Linked DNA regions of Kluyveromyces lactis. The protein of the gene in region 2 purifies or fractionates together with the protein of the main gene of each other region. This does not show direct contact. Links are inferred from orthologs where the notes say so. Each region holds a gene or a part of one and is shown on either strand. Other genes may lie near its edges.

Evidence for each region.
Region 1: the proteins of SNU114 (region 2) and CBC2 purify together in Saccharomyces cerevisiae (affinity purification with mass spectrometry; 3 studies listed by BioGRID). This does not show direct contact. The link is inferred for Kluyveromyces lactis from reciprocal best matches to the Saccharomyces cerevisiae genes SNU114 and CBC2.
Region 3: the proteins of SNU114 (region 2) and LSM7 purify together in Saccharomyces cerevisiae (affinity purification with mass spectrometry; 3 studies listed by BioGRID). This does not show direct contact. The link is inferred for Kluyveromyces lactis from reciprocal best matches to the Saccharomyces cerevisiae genes SNU114 and LSM7.
Region 4: the proteins of SNU114 (region 2) and PRP3 purify together in Saccharomyces cerevisiae (affinity purification with mass spectrometry; 4 studies listed by BioGRID). This does not show direct contact. The link is inferred for Kluyveromyces lactis from reciprocal best matches to the Saccharomyces cerevisiae genes SNU114 and PRP3.
Region 5: the proteins of SNU114 (region 2) and PRP2 purify together in Saccharomyces cerevisiae (affinity purification with mass spectrometry; 3 studies listed by BioGRID, with this or other methods). This does not show direct contact. The link is inferred for Kluyveromyces lactis from reciprocal best matches to the Saccharomyces cerevisiae genes SNU114 and PRP2.
Region 6: the proteins of SNU114 (region 2) and CLF1 purify together in Saccharomyces cerevisiae (affinity purification with mass spectrometry; 4 studies listed by BioGRID). This does not show direct contact. The link is inferred for Kluyveromyces lactis from reciprocal best matches to the Saccharomyces cerevisiae genes SNU114 and CLF1.
Region 7: the proteins of SNU114 (region 2) and PRP19 purify together in Saccharomyces cerevisiae (affinity purification with mass spectrometry; 4 studies listed by BioGRID, with this or other methods). This does not show direct contact. The link is inferred for Kluyveromyces lactis from reciprocal best matches to the Saccharomyces cerevisiae genes SNU114 and PRP19.

Annotation. Positions count from the first base shown.
Region 1 is NC_006038.1:914,012-916,397, forward strand, and holds CBC2 (nuclear cap-binding protein subunit CBC2), read right to left. Parts: upstream 1,098-2,386; coding exon 501-1,097; downstream 1-500. Other genes in the region: KLLA0_B10450g (homeobox domain-containing protein), read left to right, coding at 1-35.
Region 2 is NC_006037.1:603,688-607,810, reverse strand, and holds the start of SNU114 (U5 snRNP GTPase SNU114), read right to left. Parts: upstream 2,801-4,123; coding exon 1-2,800. Other genes in the region: TPO5 (Tpo5p), read left to right, coding at 2,960-4,123. UniProt on the Saccharomyces cerevisiae protein: Component of the U5 snRNP complex required for pre-mRNA splicing. Binds GTP.
Region 3 is NC_006041.1:2,037,120-2,039,243, reverse strand, and holds LSM7 (Sm-like protein LSM7), read right to left. Parts: upstream 964-2,124; coding exon 952-963; intron 822-951; coding exon 501-821; downstream 1-500. Other genes in the region: ALF1 (Alf1p), read left to right, coding at 1,165-1,917. UniProt on the Saccharomyces cerevisiae protein: Component of LSm protein complexes, which are involved in RNA processing and may function in a chaperone-like manner. Component of the cytoplasmic LSM1-LSM7 complex which is involved in mRNA degradation by activating the decapping step.
Region 4 is NC_006041.1:826,747-830,018, reverse strand, and holds PRP3 (U4/U6-U5 snRNP complex subunit PRP3), read right to left. Parts: upstream 1,776-3,272; coding exon 501-1,775; downstream 1-500. Other genes in the region: HSP10 (Hsp10p), read left to right, coding at 1-173; TMA17 (Tma17p), read left to right, coding at 2,502-2,984.
Region 5 is NC_006042.1:601,535-605,788, forward strand, and holds PRP2 (DEAH-box RNA-dependent ATPase PRP2), read left to right. Parts: upstream 1-1,454; coding exon 1,455-4,088; downstream 4,089-4,254. Other genes in the region: uridine kinase URK1, read right to left, coding at 1-1,196. UniProt on the Saccharomyces cerevisiae protein: Involved in pre-mRNA splicing. Is required together with ATP and at least one other factor, for the first cleavage-ligation reaction.
Region 6 is NC_006042.1:1,644,139-1,648,146, reverse strand, and holds CLF1 (Clf1p), read right to left. Parts: upstream 2,556-4,008; coding exon 501-2,555; downstream 1-500. Other genes in the region: mRNA splicing protein MSL5, read left to right, coding at 1-399; NEDD8 family protein RUB1, read right to left, coding at 2,910-2,994, 3,096-3,244; MTQ2 (S-adenosylmethionine-dependent methyltransferase), read left to right, coding at 3,502-4,008. UniProt on the Saccharomyces cerevisiae protein: Involved in pre-mRNA splicing and cell cycle progression. Required for the spliceosome assembly by promoting the functional integration of the U4/U6.U5 tri-snRNP particle into the U1-, U2-dependent pre-spliceosome.
Region 7 is NC_006040.1:327,220-330,333, reverse strand, and holds PRP19 (E3 ubiquitin-protein ligase PRP19), read right to left. Parts: upstream 1,977-3,114; coding exon 501-1,976; downstream 1-500. Other genes in the region: KLLA0_D03905g (glutathione peroxidase), read left to right, coding at 1-206; OCA5 (Oca5p), read right to left, coding at 2,361-3,114. UniProt on the Saccharomyces cerevisiae protein: Probable ubiquitin-protein ligase involved in pre-mRNA splicing.

The DNA.
Region 1 (2,386 bases), on a different chromosome or scaffold from region 2:
TGCCCCCACCTTCTCATCGTCGACAACCATCGTGACATTTGTCGTAATGCATATCATAAATCTACACTTTTTCGGTTATCGTTTAGCATGCATGAGAAGAAGATTTTACCCCTTCATATTAAGGTGGTCTTTTCTTTCTCCTAATTCTTTATATTCTTAATTTTTTTTGTTTTGTCTACGGTCAATCTTCAATTCCAGCTGTCACGAGCTCATTATAAGGCACAGCTTTAACTTTCTTTCATTTATTAGTTTATTAGTGTTTGTCTGCTCTTTTATCTACCATCCATTCATTTCACCCAACTCCTATTGATGGATTAAAGCGGCAAAATTTTTTATTATATCGAGATATCTTTAGCTCTAATATGAACTAGCTATATATTCAAATAAAATACTTCTTACCACAGTATTATTCTTTTAAATCAATTAACTTAGTGAAATAGGTACTTAGATTGAAATGTGATATATACACATCGATAAACGACCTTATGATTGTACTGTTTTTATTGGCCTGGAATGTAAGCATCTTCATCTTCTTCATATTCTTCATCCTCTTGCTGTATTGGAATGTTTTTAACTCTTCTGGCCCCGAAGTTGGCATTTGTTCCAATTCTATTCTCAAGTGGAGTGTAGAACCCACCTCTGGACGCATCGAATTCGAATCTCATCTCATCACTAACTTGACCACCATTCTTACCTCTACCGAACTGTCTTCCCTCTTCGAACCCAGGATCCAAGTCAATGGTTATATGACGGTCATCTAACTTCGTGTCACCCAAGTATTTTATAGAATTCAATGCGTCTTCCATCTTATCGAATATAATAAAACAAAATCCACACGGCGTAAACTTGAACCTATCTAGACCCATGATAATCTTTTTTATGGTGCCACATTTGGAGAATAGCTCATATATTTGCTCTTCACTTGTGTAAAACGATAGATTACCCACATAAACTGTACAGGATTTCATAGATTTTCTCAACTGTTGCAATCCAGAATCTGGGTCACGTCTAGCCTTACGGATCAAATAACGAGAGGGCTTATCTAACCTATCACAACTGTGATCGTACTTAATCTCATCAAACTCCGCTAGAGACATGGTATTTGCTTGACTGATGCTAGTTTGGGGTATTTGGAGTTTATCTGGAGCTATGGTGTCTTATGAACCTATAGATTTTACTTAATCATTTCAATCCCAAATTTAAAGTTGAATGAATCTTTCAAGTTTTTTTTTTTTTTCCATATAAGCCATATTATAAGTACTGAATACTTTGTGTCAGTGACAGGTTGTGAAAAATCAAATAAACAAATCGGGTGGACACTGCATCGAAGCTCTTGACTGCTGAGAAAGAATAATAAGTAACTTTCAATTAATTAAATTTGAGACTATCCAGTGGTTTCTCTGGAAAAATATTGTTATGCACTCTACTTTGACAGAAATGATTCTCAATAGCCATAAGGGAAATGTGGGAAGATACCATTTTAGAATTCATAACACACCCCCATGCCACCAAGAAGAATAAGATCCCTGTTAAATAGGTGCTGATTGTTAAAATTGACTACACAAGTATTTCCAAGAGATTCAGCTACATACTAACAATATCTGAAGAGAAGGTTTCAAGTGATACTGTTTCCATAATAAAAACTAATGTTGATTTCTATTTTGTATGGTTACTATCCGATATAGTGTAACGGCTATCACATCACGCTTTCACCGTGGAGACCGGGGTTCGACTCCCCGTATCGGAGTATTTTTGAAATTTTTTGCTTTTGCCAACAACCCAACAACTGAAAATAATGAAGATCGACATTAACGAGCGGACCGTGATATATGATACTGATAACTAATCCGTCACAATATATACCACTGTAGAGGCAGTAAACTATCAAGATAGAATTAGCAGCAGTACCTGTTTACCACACATTGGATACGTAATACAATGACATATACGGTATAGACGACAAGAAAACAAACAAACTGATAGACATGAATACCAAAGTATTTCAGACATTTATGAGATGAGATATGGTTGAATTGTTATAAAGATTAGAAAACGTATGTCGAAAAACAAGTAGTTGAAAATTGTATTGGCCTAGTGTAAAAAGGAAGTAAAAATGAGAAAAAGAAATCAGTGATTGTGACAGTATTATGATATTGTATTTCAAGATTGAGAAAGGTGCGAACGAACGGAATTACTATTATCAGTATAATAAAGCCATAAAAGGAGAGAAATGAAATATTCATCAATGATTCATGATACACTATGTATGAAAATTTGTAGAAAAGGAATAGTCGTAATGAAAAAAAAAATAGATATTGTTTCATGTAAACATCTAATCGGAAGCAAACTTCTTTTATCTCTTTCTTTTAATACCGTGAGGTTTCAA
Region 2 (4,123 bases):
ATACAAATCGTTTTTGTTGCAACTTCTTGAATAGATCTTGATCAATGTATTTCTTTAATGATGGCCCGTCTTGAGTCATGTGACCACTTTCAGATAAACCCTTGCGACGTCTTGTCTTCATCACAAAGTCCCTGCTTAGGCTTGCAGCAGGCGCTGGTTTCAACTTCGGTATGAAGGCTTCTTCGTCAAGTACGTCACCTGGCACTTTTCTCCATATTTTATTCCAAAAGTGCATTTGACACATTCCGCTACCGGCGGTCGCAACACGAAGATCTGTCTCAAATCCAATCGACTCGATGACAGGTAATTGAGCCTTTATTTCTATGAATGGTGATGCCACTATCTTTTCTGTCTTGTAAATTCTTCCACCTCTGCGTCTCTTCAATAAATTCTGAATCACAGACTCCAATACCCCCGATACGATAATATCGACTTCATAGATGGGTTCCATGATAATTGGAGTAGCAGACATTAGCGCAATGTAACATGCCTTTCTCGTCATTGGCACTAGTTGAGATGGGATGATATCTTCGATGCTGTCTTCTTGTACCTTGAATTGCAAGAGTTTAAATTGGCATGCATGGATTGTTTCATCAGCCAATGGTCCTTCTTTCACAGCCCATTCAAACCCTTGTAAAATGTTTTCTTTATATTTCTTGAGTAGTTGCTTATCCGTTTCATCAGGTAGAGTATCGTCAATGAATACATTACATTTTGATAAATCCCAGCAGTTTCTAGCTGCCAATGAGTCCCATCCATACTCGGTTCTTAGACGTTTGGAGAACTTTCTCATGTTATTCAATTCTGAACTGTCGATTTCACCATGCGTCAAATCGTGTACTATCTTTCCATCTAATTTTTCGGCCATAACGCTGAGTGATACTACACCGTTGTTTGACTTTACAGGAATTGACGCGAACGATTCGTTCTGACAACTTTCCGTGAATTGCACAAGCGGTTGGCTTACTTTGATCTCAATTTCACAGAATTTTTTCCGTAATTCGTCCATCACGCAATCAAGGTAAAGTTCTCCTGTTCCAATTATGATGTTTTCGCCGCTTTCTTCAACTCTAACCACTAATGCAGGGTACAATTCGTTTGCTTGTTGAAGACCGTTCAATAGTCTCGGTAGTTCACTTGGTTTCTGAGGCTGTATGGCGAATTTGAACACCGATTCGTTGAGATAGTTAATTGGTGCTAGCGGGTTCATCAAGCTCGAAGACAAAGTTGCATATTTCGTATACTGATCTTCAAAACCTTTTAAAAGTACAATCTGTCCTTTTATTGCTTCCTCGAGTTCGTAGACATACCTACCTCCCATTAAGGCTACACGCTCAATAGTAACCTTGGAGTATTCATCATCACCAAAATCTACTACAGAGTCTACGGACTCATTGAAAATATAGAGTTTGTTGCCTTTTTTCACTGAGCCCTCTATTATCCGACAAAGGGACCACTTGGAACCTTCCAGGCTCATGTGTCTCAATACATGTACAACAGTGCTTTCATCGGATGATAAGTTGTTGATTTTGTGGTCCTGTGTTGAAACAATAGCATCGATGAAGCAGTGATAGTGCGGTAGTATAGCATGAAACACGCTAAAAAGTAGCGGCTGAGGATCCTTTGATAGAATCTCATCTGAAAGCCTGATTTGAAAATTGGTTTCGATGACTGTTCTTAGTTCTTCCTCGGATGCAGATAATGTATGAGTGAAAACCTTGTATAAAGGTTGTAAAATAAACTGAATGAATGCAATGTTGTCCGTAATAAATTCTGTTTGGTAGAATGCTCCTTCTCTGTAATTAATTTGACCCCAAAGTTGAGCAGCAAATTGTTCTGTCTTATCCTTTAACGATTTAGCGTAAAATGAGTTCACAAAAGACTCCACAGAGAATAAGAATCCAAACTTGGTACTGGCAAAGAGTACATTACCTAGCTCCGGTGAGAATCTTTCTTTGGTATATGTGTTTATTTCGTTCACGATATATTGTAGTTTGCTGTATGCGTCTGTAGGAGGAAGTCTCAAATCCAAAATTAATCTATCAATTTTGTTAAGAACGATGATAAAGGGGATCCCATTACTTATCAATTCTCTTATCAGTTTGGAAACTACAGAAGTAATTCCTTCTATCACATCAACGATGATTACACCATATTGGCAAGCAGTCAAAGCAATACCGACATCGTCCCAAAAATTTACATGTCCAGGTGTGTCCAACATCGTCACTGCATACGTACGTCCTCTTGACGATTCATATGCAAACGACATACCATTCAATCTAAGCGAAATACCACGTTCCTTTTCTATCCTCGCTTGGTCGAGGTACCTAAACGGTACCCATCCCTCCTTAACTTTTTTTGTCAAGGACGGAAGATTGCGATGAGTATCTAACGCAAACATATCCGTGAAAGAAGTCTTACCACAATGTAGCGCCCCGAAAATTCCAACATTTAACTGACGTTCTGGTATCGAGAAAAGGCTTTTCAAGTACCCTCTGTCAAATAGTGCTTTAGGTACTTTCCTGTTAACAGCTTCGCTATATGATTTCGAATCGTCCCCAATCAATGGTTTCTCAGGTTCTCTATCTTCCACTTCCAACAAAACTTCAACATCATCATCGAAATCACGGTTCACATCTCGAAGTACCACATCGGTAGAGTCAGCCTCGACTATCTTTTGCCGTAATTCATGTTGAGCTTCCTGCTCTCCTACTTCTTCCAAACTATCATCATCAGAATCGATTAATTGCATTGGATCCCCAATGAAATTACCGAACTCATCGTACAAATCTTCATCCATTATTGTATTTCCTTCCAAAAGTACTCAGTGCTGAGTCACGTCACCCAAATCGCAGTAGTCTTCCCTAAGAGCAATGCATGTGCTTATCATTCTATCTTCATTACTCGAAGCTTTGACTTTCGTCAACATTTACATAATGTCTAAGAACTGAAAATATCGATGAGCCCTCGAAAAGACAGACATTTTGCCAAGACGGATGCCGAAAGGGTTCTAGGAAATAAAAAGGGTGAGCTTACCAAGGGGTCACACAGAGCCGAACTGCATTTTGAAATGCCTGAATACATCTGGCTTTCTAATCTTAACGGGAACATACACATTCCCGAGCGATTGTTGTCTTTATTGAACGAGGAAGACCAGGATATTCCCGATGAGGTTAAAGAGTTTACATATGTACAGCAACTTGACAAGAATTTACTTTCGCGGACTTCTGTTATTGGTCTAGGGTTTGGGTTGATGAGTCCCGTACTTGGTATGAGCACTACTATGAGTATTGGATTGCTAAATGGTGGATCTCCATCGATAATATTTGGGTATCTGATATGTGGGATAATGACGTGGATTAGTTCACTGTCGCTCAGTGAGATAGTCTCGAAGTACCCCATAGAACTTCACGGTGCAGCGGCCATGCTTGCGCCTGGCAGACTTCGGTTGCGTATGTCTTGGTACTGTGGTTGGCTAATGTTGTTTGGAAGTTGGACGATGAGCACTAGTATTACGTTTGCGGGTGCACAATTGATTATTTCTTTGCTGACAATGACTAATGAATCTCTGATAGACTCCCGGTGGTTGACGTTATGGACTGTGCTAATGTTTTATCTCATTGTGACTGTGGTTGGAGTCATTAATCTAAAATTTTCAAGTTTCATTGAAACTATCAATAAGGTCTGTGTTTACTGGATCTTATATGCGATATTATTCACAAGTACACTTCTCCTATTATTCCAACCAAACCATAGATCATTCAAGGATGTCTTTACCAAATTCGATAATAGTTTGTCGGGGTATAGTTCTATGGCCTTGTCATTTTTAATTGGAGGGTTTCAGCAATCTAATTTCACTTTCCAAGGGTTTGCGATGTTATCGGCATTATCTGACGAAACTGAGAAACCAGAGAAAGATATTCCTTACAGTATGACACGCTCTGTGATAATCTCACTAGTTTCCGGACTATTTTTCTTGATCCCAATGATGCTCATTCTACCTGATGTCTCTGAGGTAATGAATCATGAAGGTGTCATGCCCATCGTGCTTATCTTCACAAAATCTACTAAATCGTTATTCGTTTCCATCTTCCTTGTTCTATTGATCTTGGGAAACCTATTG
Region 3 (2,124 bases), on a different chromosome or scaffold from region 2:
CGCTTTGATGCGCTAATTGATTGGTCTTCAGTAAAGAGTAAGAATACTACAGAAAATATTATTCAAACAGATTTGCAGCAACAAGCGAAAAGAGAATTTGAAACGTTAAAAGAACAACTCTCACAAGAGATATATACTCACATATATATAAATGAACACCTGGACGCAGTCGGTTTAAAGAATTCAAGATATCTCTCTAATCAGTCGATGCGATGAGATACGGTTTTTTGGTCGAAATTTAACCAAAAAGCTTTGCTGATGTTAGAAAAAAGATTCAATAAGTCACGTGAACGCACATTTGTGCAGATTAGGTCTTGATAAGTGAGATGTAGCCGGTTAGGAAAGTATCTCCGTTGGAGATACTTATTTCATTAGATACAGGTAGAAATGTGGATATGGGCTCATAGTGTGAGTTTGATATAGCACTGAACGTTATATAGCACTATTAATGAACATATATGGTACACTGTTGCTTGAAATTTTTTTTTTTTGGGTCTTAACTAGGTATTGATGATCTCAGCACCTTCGAGGGAACATAGCGAAAGTAGAGCTGTTCCTCTTATGACGACCAAACCAATTTTTTTGGCTTGGTCCTTGTGGATGATGGTTTCATCTTCTGGGTCTCTTGCATATTCGACGGTTTCGTCAAGAACCAAGTTCATTAGCTCGTCATAACCCTTTAGGATTCCAGTGACCAGTCTTCCCCCTATGAACTTGACACGTACTTCTGTGTCCTTATATTGTGCAAGATTTATGATAGACTCACGCTTTGGGCCTTCGAACTTCTTCTTCTGCTCTTGTCTCGGTTGTTGTGATTGCCTCTGCAGAGAAGGGGAATGTATAAACTCTCTAACTGTTAGTAAATTTGAACTTAAAATGTAGAATGGATCATTGTTTTGAGAAAGTTGAAGAAGTTTTAGAAAGCCGTCCTAATTATAGTAGTTAACATACTGCTTCGCTCATTATTAGTAGTTGGTTGGGTGGGGTAGCGCTGTTTGCTCAATGGGTTATTGTCAAAGTGTGTTACTGGTTTCAAATTAACTTTTCATTTAAGTTTACGGAACATTGAAAAATTCGATGTTCAAACATGCCTGGACAAAACGACAAACATTGAACTTACAGCATCGAAGACAAAATAAAACAGAGGATATATCAGCACCGATAATGTCATCTGACGTGGAAATTATATCCGATTTGGTTAACACTCAGATCTTTGTGAAACCTGGTACATCATGGGACCATCTGGGCCAAAGATTGAACGAATTGACCGGTGTTGATGTTCAAGACATGAAATTGGTGATAAATGGCAATGCACAGAACAGCAAGTATTTGAAAGATCTCAAAGACCAGAAAGTAGAGAAAATCCAGTCCATAAAAGTGATAGACACCAACGAAAACAGTTTAGCAAGCCAATTGAAAAATGATTTGCTACATGCTAATAGCGATGACGTTTCGTTCCGATACACCATGGACGATTATGAGAACAGAAGGGATTCTGTATTACAATGGAAAAAAGATAACAAGTTAGGGAAATTTAATCCTGAATACCGCTCTAAGATGGAAGAACAACTACAACTGAATATCGATAAGGCAGAACTATTACAAAAACACGTTGGAGAAAGATGCAGAGTACTGTCCAACGAGGAAACAACGACCGATTCCACCAAGGTCCCCGAAAGAAGAGGATGGTTACGATACGTGGGAAAAGTTCAAGAGATCAGTAATACAGATGTATGGTGTGGAATTGAATTTGACGAACCTGACGGTAAGAACAATGGTACATTCCAAGGAACGAAGTATTTCGGACCAGTAAAAAAGAATTACGGCGGGTTTGTGAGACCTGCCGTTGTTGAAGTAGGTCCTCAATTCACGCCATTAGCTGACGATGAATTGATGCTCACAGATGATGAGTTATAGGGAGTTGATAATTTACATAAGTTTAATTATATTCTCGTCCTTGGCCTCGTGGATGATACTCTGAACTACGGAAATGACACCTGACACACACGTGACAGGGTCTACTACTGAATGAATTCGTAATTGGTTTGAGTCGGGTGTTGTGCCGTAGCTGGTAAAAAGGCCACGTTGCGACTTCGGTTCGAATCTTCCTCAGAACACAAAGTC
Region 4 (3,272 bases), on a different chromosome or scaffold from region 2:
TGGCTGCTGGTCCAGGTTTCACCGATTCCAACGGTAACAAGATTACACCATCTGTCCAACCAGGTGACCAAGTTTTGATCCCACAATTCGGTGGATCCACAATCAAGTTGGGCAAGGATGATGAAGTCGTTTTATTCAGAGACTCTGAAATCTTGGCCAAGGTCGTCGAATAAAGGTCTCGAACGTTACACCAGAATTAAATTTAAAGAACGATGTTATGAGCCAGTATCTTTCTCTGTTATTGATGATTGAATTTTGAGAGACGAAGGGAGATATTATTTATATAAATATGACTTTTTTTTGATGTTGGTAGTGATAAAACTCAATAATGTTGACCATTGTGCGTCACTTGGACTGCCTACTCACCCCATGTAAATAAATGTTCTAAGTAGGTCGTTGGATTTACTCCGGTTTTATTTTTTTTAACATACACTATTACTTTTATTCCAAAATTTTGATGATTTCGAACTTGGATTTCATTTTCAGTACGTAATTGTTTGTTAAAACTTACCTAATGGTACAAAAGTCAATGCATCGTGCTGCTCTAAGATATTATTTAACTGGTTTTTATCTTTACAATCGAGCATGAACCAGCCCTTGAATCTACAATCACCAATTAATCCTTGCCAAACCTTTGTAATTTTACCGTCGCAAGGTACTGTCTCTTCGGTATCTCTATCTTTGTATGGTTCCGACCAATTGATTCGCTTTGTCACCAACTTATCGAAAAAGCGGATAGATTTTTCATCTCCAAAAGCTACAATTATACCTTTGCCATTTTGAATGTGTAGACAGCATCCTTTCAACTTCAATTGCTTACCGTTGGTTTTGATTTTGTATCTGATACTAGGATTCTGTATTTCGTCAAACATGTAAACAACACACGTGTATTCTAGAGGACTATCATTGCTGTGTGCTTGTAACTGGGATTCCTTCCTTCGTTTCAGGCTTTCTTGATGCCTTATTTCATTTTCTTCGAAATGTTTCCTTTTCCTCTCTGCCACTTGTCTCCGTACGATGGATTCCCATTGAGTTGGATCCGCAATATTGGCATCATTCTCATACACATTCATCATATTCGATAATTTAACCTTGGGCTCTGGTTTTGGTTCTATACCAAGCTTGATTTTCTCCTCCTTCTCCTGTCGTACCAACTTCCTCGTATTCCTTCTGGCCTTTTTCCGTTCGTTTTTCGTTAAGAAAATCTCTGCCACTGGAACAGCTGCCCTAGGCCTTTCAATCGGTACCGGATGTTGAATATACCTAATACTTGGGAATTTATCTTGTGCACCTTCCTCTTCCTCTTCCTCTTCATCATCACTTTCATCGTCCGAATTCAATGTGGAATAATCCAAACTATATTTCTCATGGATGCTACCATCTTTGATATATGGAACATCCCACCATTCCACATCAGGAACGTCCGATAAATCGGTAAAATAAACTTCTTCATGCTTATCAGGTAGTTCCCCTATTTCTATTTTCCGTTCGATTTCCTGCTGTTTCTCCAGTTCAGCTTCCCATCGTATTCTTTCTTCTTCAGACTTTTCACGGTTCTCTTGTCTTAATTTTGCAGCATGCTGGACAACCTCTCCCGGTTCATACCAATGAGACGATACTCTTGCCTTTGGCTCAAAACCATGAGCCTGTACGTCTTGCAAGTATGGGTTTCCACAACGTCTACCTTGAAATCTCAATAAATTGACATTCTCAACACTCAATGCAGAATGCAATTTCCGATTTAACCCTCTATTAGTATTATTATCATTGCCCATTATATGATGATATGATTTTTGTACAAAGGGCCGATTATTCCAGACAATCCGTAGTTACTATTACACATCACCATTTGTCTTTTGTCCATCTCTTCTCTAGCATCGCAATGAACTCTCTCTCATATAGAATCTGAATCACATCTTCACTCTGTAACGCCTATGATGAAATTCACCATGCCCGGGTAATATATCCGAAATTGCACCAACCCCTGATTGTGCGTAGTGTATGGGTGGAAGCCAAAACAGCACAATTTTTCTGTTTTATGGGATGAAAAGAATTACATAAGCGGCCCCTAATTCTCGTTGTTTTTGTGTTCCTCGTGAGTTTCTCAACTCTTTGCTGAAAGGGACAAAGTTCAGTTCCCAGAGAAGGACTTAGGCGGGGAAATCCAGCCCAGGAGAAAGGAAAGCAGAAAAGCTGATGTGATTTTTAACAAGTAGTGTTGCTTTGGAGCTGGAAAAAGTCAGCATAGTAACGTGCGCATCATACACTCTGATTTGCAATGATGGTGCCTCGGAGGGGTGGGTGTCATATGTGGGGCGTGATATCTTACCGTTGGGTATAAATAGTAAGAGAATAAACTCTGGCTTAAATTATTGTTATAAAAGGCTAGCTTGAATATATAGTTAAGGATACCGATCTTAATTCATCTCGTACTTTCCAACCGAAACAAGACTAAAAAGTGAAAAAACATACATAGCTAAGGATAGACTTAACATAGAAATATGGCACATTCTTCTGGTATTCGTAGACCAATTCAGATTCAAGAGTTCGTGATTGCTATTAGAGAATCGTCTGAGCATGAATTACAAGAGATCAGAAAAGAGATCAATAATGCAGTGAAGCATTTACAAAGATCTAACAGAAGGTTAGAAGCGTACGTTGCCAAGCTTAAGGGTGAAGAGGTATTGAACAGACAAGAATTGGACGCGGAAGGGAATTTTTCCGATGATGATATTGATGAGAAGGATTTGCAAGTATTCCAAGACTCATTAGCGGAAAATGGAAAAGTATTGGATAATTATAACGAAAGGCTACAAGCTTTGGACCTAGAAGAACAGCACAGGGCTAGCACTGTATCTTCCGGTGACATCCAATCGGCGTCCACAAAATTAAAAAGATCTTTGCAATCTCAAGGCCGGAGAACCGTTGGCGTGGATTCAGATAATACTGCTGATGCCACTGGTTCCAATAGCATTAACTTATGAACCCATTCCAAACAAAATATATATAATGTACTCATATATTGAAGTATAGTAAAAAAAAAATGAATGAAAGCAAAAATGCATGTTTAAAAGTGTGGGCTGGTATGACCTCGGAAAACTGTATACTTTCAGAGATGAATAAACGCACCCGTTCTGGTTTCTTTCTCTTAGTTTCGGGCTGGTAATCTGCTGGGAAAAACCCTGGAATGAATCTGCTACAGACCATTCTTAACATTTAGCTTTTTCTGTTTCCAGCAGGCTGGGCCGTTCTCTGTGGCATTCATTTTCTTC
Region 5 (4,254 bases), on a different chromosome or scaffold from region 2:
AGATCAACATTGTGGTCAGTAAGAACTTGGATTGCCATGATTATCGCTGCACCTGAAATTATCTGCGCATCCATCAGTAGCACTTGGTTATAATTTTCGATCATTGGTGGAATAAATAAACTGTGCAATTGTGGTTCCCCTGTTCTGGAATCGGATTGAATAAGTAGCTTACCAACTGCGACGCTAGGAATTGTCTTTCTTAGAGATCTCATGAAACAGTCGCCAGATCTAACAATATTTATAGCTGTGACACGGTCAAAGTCAACAAAAACTGGATTATCCAACTGTTTTCCTGTCGGCGTAATAACTTTAGTCGTTTTCAATTTCGTAGGTATATCGTCCAATGCAAAGGATAAAAGTATTGTTGCTAACCTGTCAAAATAGAATACCCAGTCATCTCTTGAAACGCTTTTGTCTAACAATATAGTCTGTAGAGCCTTCACCTGATTAGTTTGTCTCAACTTATGAATTATATTTAAAGAATCAATCGACACAGCGTATGACTCGAGCTTTTGAAGTTCTGCTAAATGCTGCTGCGATTTGAGCTGCAATTTAGACTGAATGTGATTAAGTAACATCTCAGTCGCAATGCTGTTATCTGACATGGATGGGATGATTGCATCTGCTGCCTTCATGGTTGGTTTCACGAACCTATCCGCATTTGGTTTAACAAACTTCTCCCATTGTCTTATGCAACCATGCAAGTCTCTCCCACGAGAGATGATATCCCTTGTCAATCTTCTAGCTAAACATATATCTAAATCTGCATCCACGTAAACCTTCAAATCCATTAAATCAAGAAGTCTTTGGTCATATAATGCGTAAATTCCTTCAATAACAATAACACTCGCACCATAGATGGTTAAAAACTTATTTGGAATTCTATCATGATCTGTGAACGAATAGGTTGGGATTTTCACCTTCTTACCTTCTTTCAAAGACAGGATACATTGATAAGCTAGATCCAAATCTATTGAATCCGGTTTATCGAAATCGTAGTTATTTTCGAAAGCCTGCTTTCGTTCTTCGACGGTTAACGGTTTATAGAAATTGTCCAACGATATTAATACTGTCCATGGAGTGTTGATTCTTGTCACGAGTTTGGTAGCAACACTCGTCTTTCCAGAACCTGAACTCCCTCCAATACCAATAACATACGGTGTTGTCCAAGGTGGTATATAGCCAGAAGAGTTCATTCTGGACGCCTTGCAAGCGTTTTATGAACACTAAATGTCCTATGCCTGGAACTGTCTATGTCTGTTTTCTGATTCAGATAATGTTTATCTGGAAGGTTTCTATCAGTCATTTGGCATAGTTTTCAACATTTGATATTGCAAGAAAGCCACTCGATGTACCTTTCACGATTAGAAACTAAAGGTGAGGGAAGAAGAAGAAATAAGCGCTACGAAATCAGGTAGAACGCTCTCGCAGCATACCGAATCGCAGTTCATACTATGGGAACCTCAGGTGATGAAAATGGTACTAAACTTACGGGATCAGGACAGCGCAGAGCGAAGAGAACTTATGAAAGCATAGAATCGGTAAATGCAAATACTAACTCATTCTCACCTGCAGATCAAGTTTTGGACAGTAGCCCGGACCCTTCATTGAAGGATGGTAAGGCTCATTATTCGGTTAACTCGATTAAGTCAATGGTTGAGCAAAAAGTTTTGACTAAGAGACAGCGTTCTCAGTTGCACTGGCTGGTTAAAGATCTTCAGATTTTAGAAGATGACATAAAACGTTATGGTTGGAATAACTTAACTGTTAGTGAACGAGAAGAGATATCGCTGAAAAGAGAGCTATTGAAGCTCTTAAATGAAACTGGAAAAGACTATGCTGAAAATGGAGATACAAGTGGATTCAAAATGCAAGATGAGGTCGCATCAAAGAAACAACTATTGACCGCCAAACTTCGAAACAAAACCGATAGGGTGAACTGGGAAGAGGAGCAAATGAAGAAAAGTGTAATTAAGGCAGATGCAGATGAAATCAAAGTTAAGGATTCAGATAATTACGAATTTGTTTTTGATCCTGAGTCCATGATTGATTTTACTGATGATACGACAGATATTTTAGAACCTGTTGAAGACGGTAGATTGGCTGAAGCGTTAGAAGAACAAATTAACAAGATGAAGAGTATTAAAGAAACGAGGAAGTCATTGCCAGTTTATCAATATAGACAAGAAATTTTGGATAGTATTCGGCAACATCAAATTTTGATTGTTGTTGGTGAAACGGGGTCTGGGAAAACCACCCAACTTCCACAGTTCCTTGTGGAGGATGGTTACACCAACGATGGAAAATGCGTGGTTTGCACACAACCACGTAGAGTTGCTGCAACTAGTATTGCTTCAAGAGTTGCTGATGAAATGGATGTAATATTGGGGAAAGAAGTCGGTTATAATATCAGATTTGATGACCGAACAACGCCTGATAAAACAATCTTAAAATATACGACAGATGGGATGTTACTTCGAGAATTTCTTAATGACCCACAACTATCATCGTATAGTGCAATAATGATTGACGAGGCTCACGAGCGCACGTTATCTACAGATATTTTGTTGGGGTTGCTAAGGGGTATTTTACAAGACAGAAAAGATCTTCGACTTATAATTTCTAGTGCAACTATGAATGCTACTAAATTCTCCAAGTTCTTCTTTGATTGTCCGATATTTAATGTTCCTGGTAGACGCTTTCCTGTGGATATTCACTATACACTTCAACCAGAAGGAAACTATATAAATGCTGCGATCACCACCATCTTTCAAATTCATACCACCCAAAAATTACCAGGTGATATTTTGGTATTTCTAACTGGTCAAGAGGAAATAGAATCGATGCAAACAAAATTACTTGAGATTCTTTCCAAGCTTGATAATACAAAATTTCCAGATCTCTTGGTAGTACCTATATATGCCAATCTTCCTCAAGAACAACAATCCAAAATTTTTGAACCTACACCGAAGAACTGCAGAAAAGTAGTGCTTGCGACAAATATTGCAGAGACATCGTTAACAATTGACGGCATAAAGTTCGTGGTAGATCCAGGTTTTGTGAAGGAACAATCCTATTCAGGAGGAGTTTCAAAGCTAGTGACAGTTCCATGTTCTAGGGCATCTGTTGACCAGAGAGCAGGGAGAGCAGGGAGATTGGGTCCAGGCAAATGTTTTAGATTATTTACAAAATGGTCTTACTACAATGAGCTTGAAAAAGTACCAAAGCCAGAGATTTTGAGAACAAAATTGAATCAAGTGGTTCTACTTTTGCTTTCACTAGGTATCAACGACTTACTTCACTTTCCAATGTTGGACAAACCAAAAACTATCCAGCTAAGCGAAGCCCTCGAAAATTTGTATGCCATTGGCGCTCTCAATAGCAGAGGTGCAATCACAAAAGTAGGACAAGTTATGTGTGATTTCCCATGTGATCCTGAATATGCCAAGGTAATATATTCTAGCGTGTTTGAAGAAAGCTGTAATGGTGTTCTACCTGAAATTGTTACGATTGTCTCTATGCTTCAAGAGAGCAACTCTATATTTGTACCGGGACTCAATTCGGAAGAAAAGACAAAACTTTTTGGGTCATTGATGCAGTCAAGTGACCACATGCTATACTTGTGGATATATGAACAATGGGAAGAGAATGGATACTCACGAAGATGGTGTCAAGATTTCAAGTTGCAACATAAAACAATGAAACGAGTATTGAGGATACGACAACAATTATGGAAATATTGTAGGAAACAAGATTTTCTGCTTAAGCATGACCAAAACCTTACTCAACTCAAAGAAAACATGCCTCGTTCCGTCATTGAAGCAAAAATCATTAAATGCTTTATATCAGGATTTCCAACAAATATAGCAAAGCTCTCTAAACAAGGCTATACTAACATAAAGCAAGATTTATCCGTCAGCGTTCACCCATCTAGTGTTATTTTCAACCGAATGAAACAAGAAGGAAAACCAATGAAATACATCCTCTATCAATCTTTGATGCTTACAAGTAAAGAATTCATTAGAGATTGTATAACATTTGATAAATACGAATGGCTCACTGAAACTATGCCACATATTTATAAATGAATCTTTGTATCCCCAGTTAATTGAGGAGTAACATATGCAACATTTTCTAAGAAGCTTTTCAGAACATCACGCCAAATTGTTGGCGAGTCCACCTATGTTCTGAAAAACCAATTGTAGAATAATCGAAATCAAATCAGTTATTTTTCTAATTACTTCTAATGTTCAA
Region 6 (4,008 bases), on a different chromosome or scaffold from region 2:
TCTCTGGCTGCAGAAAATTCAACGTCTGGAATAGGTATCACTGAAGGAAACTTAAATATTGCTACTCCAGGAATGGCACCCCCAGGTTTATCTCCTCCCGGAATGGCAGCACCAGGAATGGCAGCACCAGGAATGGCAGCACCAGGATTGGCAGCACCAGGATTGGCAGCACCAGGATTGGCAGCACCAGGATTGGCAGCACCAGGATTGGCAGCACCAGGATTGGCAGCACCAGGATTGGCAGCAGCACCAGGCAACGTTCCTCCAGGATTAATGCCCCCAGGATCTGTACCGACAATGAATGCACCTGGGCTTACCCCTTCTACGATATCAACACCCAGTTCGATACCGTCAAACCAGTTGCCACAAAGTTTTACCGATAATGAAACGAATAATTAATACAATTCGTATTTTTTCTCAATAGCCTATATGCCAACCTGATTAAATGCGTGTTCTAAATCTACAATTGTATTATCTGTATATGAATATAAAGTTACATATCAGCTGGAATTTTTCTCCCATTGTTTTGCCAAAGCTAGAAGATTTCGAGCAATAGGAGGTTGAGCAACACGATCGTCCGGAAAATCCAATTTATATGACTCTTGCTCAATGTTATCGATAGTAACTTTTTCCCTAACCAAACTTGGTTGTCTAGCATTGACCTTTTCCAAAGTTTCTTGATTACCATGAACTTTCTCATACTCCAGGAGAGATTGTAAAACTTGCTGGCGTTTCTTATCTTCATTATGTTCTTTGAAATATGAAATTGCCTTCTCAAAAATAGCCCTGGTGTGATGCTTATTCTCAGGTGTAATTTCAAAACTGAACTCCTCTTCGCCATCGTCGTCAAAATTCCCGTCTTGATGAGATTGTTGATAGGCTATTAGTTGGGTCTCAGTTGGAATAGTGCTCTCGAAAAGCGCCTGGTTTATCCATATGTTCACGTCATATCTACTCAAAATCAAATACTTCTCGTACAACTCTCTAGCCTTTTCATATTCTGCTGCATCAGTTTCAAAAGCGATATAGCGCTGAATGACAATCAGCTGGTCCGATTCAGATAATCCAACATTATTGCTCATGGAGATATCATAGATCCCTCTTGATCTATCTTCATCTCCTAAATTTTCTTCTAATTCTGCATAATCCAACCATGATTGCACTGAACTAGGATTGAAATCGATGTATTTCTCGTATAGCTTTCTCACTCTATCAAACTCTTTTAGCCTTATCTCCAAATTGATGTAATATTTAAACACTTTTGGCTTGGGGGACTTTCCTAAGCTCACACCCAGAATTTTTCTTGCTTTCAGCAAGTTGTTCTGCCTAATTTCGAATTCTGCATACATTATCCACAGTTTACCGAATGTAAACTTCTTATGTGGAATGATGTCGAGGATGTCTTGATAAACCGAGCGTATCGTAGGCAAATCATTAATGGTGAGCTCTAGATAGACCAAGTATCGTACGCAGATTCTTATGTACCTCTTCCAGCTCGAATCCTTTACCAGGGACTTCGGCTTTGCCAATTCAATGAACGACTGGAAAGCTGATGTCAATTGCTCTTGATATTTTTCCTCAACCAGGTCAATATAGACCCACCAAGTAGAATAATGATAGGGATCTGATTTTAGATATTGCTCGTACTCGGCTTTCCTTTTAGCGATTACTATGTCCTCCATATTTTTCGAAGAGCCGAACTTCTTCTCGAACTGAATCTGCTGTTCCTTTAATGCTTCAGAAATTGGCCATCTTTCAACTGCTAGTCGGTATAACGTTCTAGATCGTTCATACTCTCCCTGAGAAGCTTCCCAGGAAGCGAAGCTACCAATAACTCGTTCAATATCTACCAGTGGTGTTCCGCTGAAACTTGTGAGTGTGTCTAGCGCGAATGAGAACACTGTTCGTACGGATGATATATCTCCATGAGTTTGTTCAAAACGAACCCATTTCAACCAGGTATCTATTTGAGGATGGACTAGAACAAACTTCGAGTAAATGTTCCTGACATTTTCAAAATTCAAGCACCTTGTTTCGAACTCGATGAAGGAGTCCCATGCATCGGGACCAGGTTCAAATGAACACCATCTTGTATAAATGCCTCGTACAATACCCTGATTTCCCAAAGATTCTTCCAATAAAAGATATTTGAACCAGAGCTTATCAACACGAGGAAGAGCGTTTGTTGCTCTGTCTAACAAGTTCCTTGCATGGTTGATATTTTTCCATTTGATTTCACTGTCGATGTATTGAATCCATAGTGGAATAAACCCATGATCAACAAGAAGAGCGCGTTCATAAATGGACCTAGCTCTTCGTATATCTTTCTGATCAAATTCAAATTGAGCATACCTCATCCATTGACGAAGGTCTAACCTATTTCTTTTCAAAACTGTCTCATACTCTGTTCTTTTCCTTCGTTGCCAGTCTTTCAGTTCTTCCAAATCTAATATATCTGCCTTCGTAGTAGCTGCAATCTGCTTCTTTTGGCTAAAGGCATCCTTCAAAATATTATCGGCAGTGATGGCTTCATTGGATAAACTATTGTCACCCATGTTACAGTATAGTCAGGTAAGTTATCCGTGTTTTTCTTACTTTTGTTTGCATCGTTGTCGTTAAGTTCATCTGTTTCTACAATTATAATGTTCGCACTAAATTTGATATCTGAATCATTATGTATTTATAAGGTTCATTCATGCATACAAGGAAAAGCAACAAGCATGTGTTACATCCTTCCTTTGTTTGATAATTGGACGGTCGTGTAAATGTAAATTATGTCATTCATAGTGTTAGCTTCCAATAATTATAGTCGTTTTATTAAATGCAGAGTAATTCCTCCAGGTATTTATCTGCAAAATACTTATACACATACGTATCTTGAGGTTTCGCAATGCAATGACACATGGCTCTCAACAACCGCCTCTTAAAGTTAGAACAAGATGTAAAAGAGATCCATCTTGCAAGTCGGCACTGCCGATTGTTGCGTTATCATCTCTGATTTAAAGATAGCATTACTTACTAGTTAGTAAAAGAGTCCCTACATTAATTTGATATCAAACTCTTCTCAGTTCTGAATTATCAGTTAATTAACATACATTTGTTTGCCCTGGAAGATCAACTTCTGCTGTGATGGTGGAATACCCTCTTTTTCTTCTAATAGCTCTTTGATATGATAGACCGTTTCTGAACTTTGAACATCTACGGAGATTTCCTTCCCTGTTAATGTCTTGACCTTTAATTGCATCTTTCTCAACCACAAACAAGCAACTGATTGTCGATTCTCTGAAAATGGTGATTAATAGTTGTATCAAACAGTAGACTAGTTGTTAAGCTTCAATTTAATTACTTTCTTTTAGATGACCTTTTGCATACGTTATTGTTCAATATCAACTTTTCAAATACAATATTATATATGCGATGACTTCCATGTTTGAAAAGATACAGGTGCAGAACAGATATTGATGCGAGCTATAGCTCATCAGGGCTTAGGATAACAGGGCGATGCTAGCTACACCATACGTCTCTTATGATTATAATAAAGTATACGAGCCAAGCGAGGACTCTTTTCTTTTATTAGATGCATTAGAAGCTGATCTGAGTTGGTTGAATAACAGGTTCAATGACGCAGTACCATTGACTATAGAAATTGGTTCTGGTTCTGGGATAGTCTCTACGTTTCTTATGCAAAATGGTATACCAAACGCCAATGGACTTTATTTGGCAACTGATTTGAACCCTTGGGCATTGGACGCTACCTTAGACACTTGTTCGAAGAATGGTTGCAAGAATAGCCATTTTGATGTATTACAAACAGACCTTACGTCTTCAATAAGGGAAAATGAGGTCGACCTGCTTGTCTTTAATCCACCATATGTACCTGCAGAAACTGTACCAGAACTGCCTCATTCAAATCATGCTGTTCGTGATGATGAGTGGCTCTTTCTAGCATTGGATGGTGGTGATGATGGGATGGTGGTCACACAGAGACTATTGAATGGATTGGACAGA
Region 7 (3,114 bases), on a different chromosome or scaffold from region 2:
GTGTCAATGCTCTTCCGCTATATAAGTACTTGAAAGATCAACAACCGCGAATGTTTGGGTTCACGTTCGTTAGATGGAATTTTGAGAAGTTTTTGATCGATCGCTCAGGGAGAGTCCATGGACGGTATTCCACGTTGACGAAACCGAAAAGTATGAAGGAAGACATCGAACAATTACTAAAACAAAAAAGCCAACTACAATCATGACTAGCAGATGGTAAAGAAGAGTTCTTCGGGGTAATCCCTTTTTCATATTCTGTAATGCCATCTTCTTTCCCGTTTATTCACTTGCAAGAAAAACACAAACACAGTTCGATATTTAAAGAGCATGATTTTCACTTCTTTTTACGATGAAATCACGTACATATATGGGGGCGAGTTCATACATGTTCATTTTTCGACGTATTATCGGATCATATATTTAACGACTCTCACCATCAAATCAGTGATTATTCTAATAATTACAATTTTTATACCTTATTTAGGACAAGTATCATATATCTACTTCAACTCATATGTTATGCATTTATTCTCCGAGATGACGTTCAAGAAATATCCTTGATCTATTTTTACCAATGTCATGGATTCTGCTGTATTTGTTTCGATCGGAAGAGTAGATTTTTCGACAAATGACTGTCCCTTAACATACTCATACCATTGTACTTGTGAATTACCCATGCTTACGAAAAAACCTTTAGCTGTATCGTCCAACTCCACACTGATGATATTCTCAGCGAAAGAAAGTGGTTCCATTGCCAAGGTGCCTGGATCCTTTCTTAAATCGTAAACATTCAAGTCAGAATCACCAAAGACAAACATCCAATAACCGTTCAAACCAAAGTCTACTCTTTTAGCTGGGAAGCCAGTTGAAAATTTAATCGGATCTTTTGTAGCAGCCAATAGGTTTATTACATATACACCTTCGTTTTGGTTACCAATAGCAAGAAGAGCTCCATCTTTATGATAATTCACAAATTGAACGGAATCGTTCAATTTAACTTGTGAGATGGTGAACAGTGCTTTTTTGGTAACTTCATACCCATATATTGTACCTCTTTCAGTTACGAATAAGAAGTAAGAATCCGATATTTGATGAGGATAAGCCATAAATATCACTGGCCCATCAGTTCCTTCCAAAACTTCTTCATACAACAAAGACTTTGTATGAAGGTCATACGCTGCTAATAGTCCCTGGGTGAAGGTGTATAGAACGTCTTTAAACTCCACCAGATATTCTGTGGCTTGTGACACATCAAGAATAGAATCTTGAGGTCCAAACACAAAAGCTTTGTCATTATCTTTTACAACAACAGATCTTTCATTAAGATTGACATGCTGATTTCTGCTAATCAAATCAATTTCAGAGAAATCTGTCGATTGAACGACTGAAACGTTGGAGAAGTGTTGTAGCTTTTTCTTAGACTTTTTGGAATTTGTCACGTACTCTTGAGATTTCGTCGATAATTCTGAAGTAAAGTCTGATAGAATTTGGTCTGAGTTCTGGAGTTTATCAATAGTTCCATCATTTTCGACATTCGAGGAAGTTATTGCCGATGTAAGTTCTGCTAATTCTTGCTTCAGCTGATCTCGCTCTACAAAAGCTTTTGCTGCCGCTGATGCAACAGCGTCAAACCTGTAAAGTGTATCACTGAGATTCTTTTTACAAACGTCTAACTGCTTCCTTAATTCGAAATTCTCGAGCATTACTGCATCCCATTCTTTCTGCAAAGTTGACAATAGACTTGGAATGCTATAGTTGTTTGCGATAGTAGACGAGCTCAATGATTCTGAAAGTGATATCTGCTGTGGAGTCGCATTGATTTCAACCAAATCTGTTTTTTGTAATGGATCATCCGTTATGGGATCTGTTCCTTTCTGTTCAATATACTGTTCGATTAGATGCTGTTCAAATATACATTTGGAATTAGGTGAAAGAACAGCTTTTATAGGTGGTTTCCCACTAATTGCACAGAACATAATTAGCGTACCTCAATTTAGCCAGTCCTTAAGTAGTTTCACCAGAAGTAAGCCCCAAGGTTCTCCTTTTTGAAGCCATTATCTAATTATGTATATCGGTGCTTCATCTTTCATGTAACATTTATGTTGGTTTTCTAATGTTAAATAAAAATGCTTTCGTTTCTCTTTTGAACATGCAAAAAAATACTGGATGAAGAAATGACTTTATTTAACAAATCAACTCACATCTTAGTTGGCTGGTTAGAACGCTCCAACAGGTTAGAATACAATCTGCAATATTCATAGAGCTCGAGATGTATATAGTATTTTTATATATATATATGCTAATTAAAGGAAAAGAAGATATACTACATACAAGAAAGACACAAATATAATGCTGATATATCATTCTTCTATGAATTCTTCCATTTCCTGCCAAGCCCAATTTCTCCAGATGTCTCCAGCCTGCTGGTAGATGTCATCAAACGAGTGTGCAGTCTTATCGTCAGTACCGACCTCTATCATCATATGATTTGAAGAACTTGGTCTAATTCCTGAAGCGTTGGATTCATCTGTGTCTGTCGAACTTCCACTAATGTCATCATCCTCGTACATCTTCTTGAAGTTGTAGTCATCGAATTTTGATATCAGTGGGACATTATTTAAGAACTCGGTGATCTCTGTTTCCTCAAACTCTAAAAGTTTAAATTCGTTATGTTGCATAATGGCAACATATATGAAAAGTAACTCCGCATGAGGGTTCAAGAGCGAATATGGAATCTCATTTTCTTGTGTTTCTGTAGTATGACCATCGTCCCCATATTTATTTCTTCGTATCAATTCCCGAATGACATCTTCATCTTGGTTCAATCCATTTTGACCGAGCCTTAACGACATCAAATCTGGGAACCAAAACTCATCATGTTCACATTTGCAAATCTTATGGAAAATCTCTGAACTCAGTTTCAATTCAGGTGGATAAATGCTTTCAAATGATTTATGGTTGTACTCGAGATAATAGTTGATTGATTCAGGACGTGGTCTCCATCCGAGCAACACATCCCATACTCTTCCTCTATCCTGACGATGCAACACTCTGCAACCACAACATTTGATCCACCAATACAACCAAGTAGCCTTCTTGGAACCTTGCAAAGCG